Linked DNA regions of Xenopus tropicalis. The protein of the gene in region 1 purifies or fractionates together with the protein of each later gene. This does not show direct contact. Links are inferred from orthologs where the notes say so. Each region holds a gene or a part of one and is shown on either strand. Other genes may lie near its edges.

What was found. Proteins that work in one complex are often made in the same cells at the same time.
Region 2: the proteins of supt7l (region 1) and usp22 purify together in Homo sapiens (affinity purification with mass spectrometry; 3 studies listed by BioGRID and IntAct, with this or other methods). This does not show direct contact. The link is inferred for Xenopus tropicalis from reciprocal best matches to the Homo sapiens genes SUPT7L and USP22.

What each region holds. Positions count from the first base shown.
Region 1 is NC_030681.2:5,371,949-5,376,084, forward strand, and holds the start of supt7l (STAGA complex 65 subunit gamma), read right to left. Parts: upstream 2,801-4,136; 5' UTR 2,784-2,800; intron 854-2,783; 5' UTR 733-853; coding exon 320-732; intron 1-319. Other genes in the region: slc4a1ap (kanadaptin), read left to right, coding at 2,972-4,136.
Region 2 is NC_030685.2:41,426,026-41,429,525, forward strand, and holds part of usp22 (ubiquitin carboxyl-terminal hydrolase 22), read right to left. Parts: intron 708-3,500; coding exon 606-707; intron 1-605. UniProt on the Homo sapiens protein: Deubiquitinase that plays a role in several cellular processes including transcriptional regulation, cell cycle progression or innate immunity.

The DNA of each region.
Region 1 (4,136 bases):
CTTCTTGAATCACAAACTCCCTGCTCCTCCACTTAAAAAGCTGCCATTAGAAGGTTCAGGTACCTCCCACTGCGAGGCACAAAGACGTACCTTTAGGGGTATATTTATCATGCTTTGTAAAAAGTGGAGTGAAGCATTACTGGTGATGTTGCCCAGGGCAACCAATCAGCTATTAGATTTCAACAGCAAACAAATCATCTGATCTGATTGGCTGCTATGAGCAACATCACTGGTAATGTTTTACTTCACTTTTTACACAACATGATAAATATACACCTTAATGTACAGGGCTGCAGACACAAGAAGTACGATATAATACCTGTAGAATTCACTCTCAGGGTCGCTGTGCCGAATCTGGAATGGCAGCTTGGGGACCTTACAGTCCTGGGGCAGCAGATCCTCTGGGAGGGCAGGAGAGGTAGGCCTGAGGGGTAAAGGCTCGCTCTCCTCCACCTTCATACCCTCCACCTGCTGCTGGTTCTGAGCCTGAGCGCCGGCGATGAGGCCCCGCAGTCTGCGGTTATGCTGGATGAGCTGAATGGTGTGGATAGTCAGGCTGCAGGGTTCAGAGGGAATGTCCAGCATAGTGGTAGGCCGGGGCTTATTGGCCGATGGCTGGTGTAGGGGAGGCTCCTGCATTTCCACCGTTCGGAACTCGCGTTGCAGGAGATCAAAGGAGCTTCTATTGGCCTGCCCAGAGGAGACTGGGATCTCGCCCCAATAGCGCATCATCTTCCCTCTCTTTGTGTCAGTGATTATAGTCACACAATCAATGGACTCTCATTCAGCTATGATATCTCTGTCATTCTGGGCCTCTCTCTGCCGCATCAGCCGCTTCTCTTATATTAATCACCTGCATGGCGCAAAGTAACAAAAAGTACAGTGAGAAAATAGATATGGGATCCCTTATCCAGAAAGTTTAGAATCACGGAAAGGCCATCTCCCATAGACTCTATTATAAGCAAATAATGCTAATTTTTAAAAACGATTTCCTTTTTCTCTGTAATAATAAAACAGTACCTGTACTTGATCCCAACTAAGATATAATTACCCCTTATTGGGGCAGAACAGCCCTATTGGGTTTATTTAATGGTTAAATGATTCCCTTTTCTCTGTAATAATAAAACAGTACCTGTACTTGATCCCAACTAAGATATAATTACCCCTTATTGGGGGTAGAACAGCCCTATTGGGTTTATTTCATGGTTAAATGATTCCCTTTTCTCTGTAATAATAAAACAGTACCTGTACTTGATCCCAACTAAGATATAATTACCCCTTATTGGGGGCAGAACAGCCCTATTGGGTTTATTTAATGGTTAAATGATTCCCTTTTCTCTGTAATAATAAAACAGTACCTGTACTTGATCCCAACTAAGATATAATTACCCCTTATTGGGGCAGAACAGCCCTATTGGGTTTATTTAATGGTTAAATGATTCCCTTTTCTCTGTAATAATAAAACAGTACCTGTACTTGATCCCAACTAAGATATAATTACCCCTTATTGGGGCAGAACAGCCCTATTGGGTTTATTTAATGGTTAAATGATTCCCTTTTCTCTGTAATAATAAAACAGTACCTGTACTTGATCCCAACTAAGATATAATTACCCCTTATTGGGGGCAGAACAGCCCTATTGGGTTTATTTAATGGTTAAATGATTCCCTTTTCTCTGTAATAATAAAACAGTACCTGTACTTGATCCCAACTAAGATATAATTACCCCTTATTGGGGCAGAACAGCCCTATTGGGTTTATTTAATGGTTAAATGATTCCCTTTTCTCTGTAATAATAAAACAGTACCTGTACTTGATCCCAACTAAGATATAATTACCCCTTATTGGGGGCAGAACAGCCCTATTGGGTTTATTTAATGGTTAAATGATTCCCTTTTCTCTGTAATAATAAAACAGTACCTGTACTTGATCCCAACTAAGATATAATTACCCCTTATTGGGGGCAGAACAGCCCTATTGGGTTTATTTAATGGTTAAATGATTCCCTTTTCTCTGTAATAATAAAACAGTACCTGTACTTGATTCCAACTAAGATATAATTACCCCTTATTGGGGGCAGAACAGCCCTATTGGGTTTATTTCATGGTTAAATGATTCCCTTTTCTCTGTAATAATAAAACAGTACCTGTACTTGATCCCAACTAAGATATAATTACCCCTTATTGGGGGCAGAACAGCCCTATTGGGTTTATTTAATGGTTAAATGATTCCCTTTTCTCTGTAATAATAAAACAGTACCTGTACTTGATCCCAACTAAGATATAATTACCCCTTATTGGGGCAGAACAGCCCTATTGGGTTTATTTCATGGTTAAATGATTCCCTTTTCTCTGTAATAATAAAACAGTACCTGTACTTGATCCCAACTAAGATATAATTACCCCTTATTGGGGGCAGAACAGCCCTATTGGGTTTATTTCATGGTTAAATGATTCCCTTTTCTCTGTAATAATAAAACAGTACCTGTACTTGATCCCAACTAAGATATAATTACCCCTTATTGGGGGCAGAACAGCCCTATTGGGTTTATTTCATGGTTAAATGATTCCCTTTTCTCTGTAATAATAAAACAGTACCTGTACTTGATCCCAACTAAGATATAATTACCCCTTATTGGGGGCAGAACAGCCCTATTGGGTTTATTTCATGGTTAAATGATTCCCTTTTCTCTGTAATAATAAAACAGTACCTGTACTTGATCCCAACTAAGATATAATTACCCCTTATTGGGGCAGAACAGCCCCCCAGGAGCCCCCCATTACCTCACACAGTCAGTCCGGTTTCCCTGTGTCCCAGACTGGGGGGGGGGGGCACGCCGGAAGTGATCTCATCAACAGGCGCCTCCATGAGACCGGAAGCAGCTGCGGGCCGCTCTGTGGTGTTTGTAGCGGGATAACGTACCGTGGGTTCCGGATTCTCCTCCCGAACCGGTGAAAGTGGCGCTGGATACATGGAGGCCCTTGCACATGACCCGGATGGCAGGGAACGGGCCAGTTATCCCGGGGCCGCTGCCTTGGAAGCCGGGGATACGGGGGCCCCTGGGGCCGGGGATAATGGGCAAGGGGGGAGCGCTGCCGGGGAACCTCCCAGTACCGGGGGCCCGACCGATACTGCCAATGGGGCCCCCACTCCAGGGCCCGGGGTTGCTGAGAGGGGTGGGGGTGAGGGGGCCGGGGGCAGCGAGGGCCCCAAGAATGTTTGTTCCAGGGGGGTCAGGGATAGCCATGAGGGGCTTGGGGGCCACAGGCATGAGAGTTCCTCTTGTACAGGGACCAGTGCAGAAACCCAACGGGATTCCAGGCCCACCCAGGGGCCCAATGATAGCCAGTCCCAGGGGCCCAATGATAGCCAGTCCCAGGGGCCCAATGATAGCCAGTCCCAGGGGCCCAATGATAGCCAGTCCCAGGGGCCCAATGATAGCCAGTCCCAGGGGCCCAATCATGCCCAATCTGAGGGGTCCCATGTTACCCAATGCAAGGGGCCCAATGATAGCCAATGCCAGGGGCCCAATCATGCCCAATGCCAGGGGCCCAATCATGCCCAATGCCAGGGGCCCAATCATGCCCAATCTGAGGGGTCCCATGTTACCCAATGCCAGGGGCCCAATAATACCCAATCCCGGGGGGCCAATAATGCCCAATCCCAGGGGTCCCATGTTACCCCCAAGGGGCCCGATAATAGCCAATCCCAGGGGCCCCATGTTACCCAATCCCATGGGGAGGGGCAGTCCAGCTCCTGGACCAATGAGGATGAACACTCCAATGCTTCTGGGGCCAGCACCCCCAAGGAATCCAGTTCACCCAGGGGCATCAGTTCCACGGGCCCCGATTCTGCAGGGGCCACTCCAGAGAAACAACCTAGTCCCAGGCCCAGTTATGGGGAGATTGCCTCAAGGACTCCCAGTAAGGATGGAGGCTCTGGCTGCAGTGCGCCCAGGGACAGTCCCATGGAGGGGCCCGATGATGCCAGGACCACAGAATCCTTTAAGAAACCCATCTTTGCTGCCCGCCCGAGTGGCACTGAAAAGGCAGCTCAGCCAAGGGACAAACCAGTCGTCCATTCACAGCCTTCGGCCCCAACTTGCAGCAGGACCCCCAGCGCTGAAACGCCCACGG
Region 2 (3,500 bases), on another chromosome or scaffold:
ATTCATGTATAAAAGTTAATTACAAAGATTACATCAACATTATAAATTTGGAGGGGAAAAAAAAAATGAGCACCCCTAATAAGAATGTCTGTAATACTAGTAGTGATATATTTGTAAACTTTAAGCATCCTTTGCCCTGCAAGATGGATTAATACTAACCAGTCAACACTGCCATTGGAAGCAGTGATTGGTTTCCCAGTACAGGCAAAGTGATTTATATGCTGTACAATCCCTTATTATCAGGGGTAAATCTTCTGATACACTTAGGAAAGCATTATAACAGGTGATGTTTTAAATAAATCAGAAGGCAAAGCAGTTAAAATAGGGTTAGAACACAGCTAACTGAAGATCTCCTTTAATTGCAGACACAGAATACAGATTATAGATAGATATATAGATATCTATCTATCTAGATATATATAGATATCTATCTATATATATATATATTTTTGGTGAGCATCCGGCGCGTGGTTTGCGATTGGTGAGTGCCGTCATTGGAATAGATATATATATATATATATACATATACACACACACACACACACATTTTTTTGCACATATACATTATATATCACACACACACACACACACTAAATGTAACTTACCTATAGTACAATTTGTCGTAATTTTTCTTCTCTTGGGGTTATGCTGTAACAGCTCTAGTTCCCGCTTTGTTGGCTCCCACGTTGAATACTTTTCTCCAACTCCTACAATAATTAAATAATTTGGGAGTGACCAATAAATGAAAAATTACTGCAGGAAAGCTGAAATGAACATGTTCTAATTATTACATTCAGATACGACACATACAAGCATGAATTCAGCAACCTGTGTTTAGCCCGTTAAGTACAAGTATAATGGTAACATATATTGTGGTTAATTTTGTATATCAGAACTTTAACCACCACCCTATCATTCAATGTTTTGGACAACTGTAAACCCTTTGTCCAGAAGCAGGATTCTAAGAAATTTGTGGCGTTAAATAAAATGGTGCTGATTCTCTCCTATGATTTGTGTTGAAATAATTCAAATAGTGGGATATAAGCACTTTTTTTGTACCCAGGAGCATGTTTGCGACATATGGTATTGTAGAATGTAACTGAAAGGCACAGTATAGTATATACATTTGCCAAAATAAATAGAACTTATGGTAAAAATACAATCAGATTTTTAATTAAAAACGCATATTTTAAAGTTAATTTTTAATATAAAGCACTAGCAGAGCATTTTTTTTCCTTCACACTTATCTTACCTTTAAAGGACATATGACAGGTGAAAGGGGCAATACACACCCACCAGTAAATCAAATCATTAAGGCCATCCCCAAGGTGGTGGTCCTTTTTGGAAAAAAAATTGCACTAGCTTATATGCAGCATAGAGTATATATTAAATTTATTTGGTTTGGTGTTGTAAAATATTTTCTTGGAATTTGTGCAAGAATAACCACTACATTGAAATACATTATTTATCTTTTATACGAGTATGTGTTCATATTCACCATGACCAGAAAACCAGTTGTGCAGAAAGCTTACATTTCAAATCATAAGCAGACACAAATTATACATACTAAAGGGTTTTCCTGTGAATTTTAGTTGGACTGTATGTTTTCTACAGGAGCCATAAACTAATTTCTGTATGCGAGAAACTCACTCAACTCACAGGTTGCAGAAAACTGGCAAGTTTGGGGTGGTTTATCTTATCAGTTGAGACGTTCACTGTGGGGGCAAGTGGGGAAAACCTGTATAAAAAGTAAGCACTGCACAGTGGGGGGGGGGGAGCCTGTGAGGAGACGGGAGCAGCCTTTAAGGAGACAGAGGAGACATCATGTAAGGACTGCAGACCAAAGGTGCTGGAGGGAGAGAGAGAAGCCATGATAGAACTGGAGGACAAAAGGAAGCCAACGTCTGTTCTATTACCATTACAATAATGTAGACTGTATAACTACCCTGTAAGTATATCACTTTAACATACACTTATTGGTGTGGATTATTTGTCTGCTGCTCAAAAGAACCATAAGCAAGAGGTGTGATTATTATTAATATTAAATCTTATACCACCAACACACCAGTATTGGCTGTGTTGCTGCTCTCGTGGAGAACTAAGGAGTAGCCTTTCTTGTCACAGAACAGGAAATTCTCTGCCTCAGGCAGACACTGGCACTAAGAGGAATGCACCATTCAGTAAGCGTGATGAGCACATTTTTTCAGCAGACATGGATTCGTGGCAGAATTTCTCATTCCGTCTTTGGCAATTTTTTTTGCAAAACTGCTGTAAAAATTCGCAGTGAGGAAAAAGTTGTGGCCACGTCAAAAAATAAATAAAATCACGTGGTAGCCACAATTCACAAATGTTTTGGTAAAGCAAAATGAGACAGATTTGAGCATCGCTATTCAGAAACTCACTTTGGCCATTTTCAATGGGTAGCAGTAACAGGACTACACTATACTAAACTCATTAATAAACACTAGGCAAATTTGGCCGTGGGCAGTAACCCATAGCAACCACAGATTCGCTTTTCTAGACAGCTGAAGGTAGAAAAATGAATGCAACAATTTGATTGATTTCCATGGGTTACTGCCCATGGTCAATTTTGCCCAATATCAATAAATTACACCCATTGTGCTTAGTTTACAAATCTTAAAAAAAAAAAAAAAAAAAAAAGTATAAAGCACTATTTGATAAAATTTGGGTTTTTAACCACCCCAAATTGCAAATTAATATCTGCGTGGTTAAACATTACTTGGAATGAATGTGCTATATTTGCCATTTTGCAAAAGTTTGTACAAGGTTTTAAGATAATTTTACGAAACTATAAAATAATTAATAGATAATTTTTTATCAGCACACTCTGGGGATAAATACAGAGCACATTAAGTGAATAAAGGCCATTTGTAAATAAAAAATATTTCACACATTTATATATTAGTATATGGTAGATTAGTATTTTGACATTTATGGTCTTATACCATGAGCTTTTAGGAATGATAACATTTCCCTCAATAGAATATCTTTTATAAATAAAAGATTTTCTTGCCATAGTGGAATTAACCAGTGGTAAGTCTTGCCTGAACTGCTTAAGAACAAATTAAAGGGATACTACAGTTTTATTTGCTTATTATGTTGGGTTAAAAAACCCAACATACTGTTCAGCTTATTCTTCTGCTTTTTCTTATTATTATTCTTAGCGTCCCCCATTTTCTAAAAGATACTCCTACAGTTTTAGGGGGACAACACCCAAACTTTCCACACTTCGCCCTAAAGTGGAGCAGATTGCTTGTGCTTTTCTAAGCGATCCCTCCCCCAGTCTTTTTGTGGCGCCGCTCCGAACACCCCGATTTTCCCATTGACTGACAGGGAAGATTTTCAAAATGCTGCCACTCTTACAGCTTTAAAGCTACACCCCCCAAACATGAACAACAATCATGGGGTCACCCGAATGAAACAGCCACATTTGTTGAATGACCCCCAAAGTGGGAGGGGCCAACAGCCAATCAAATTTC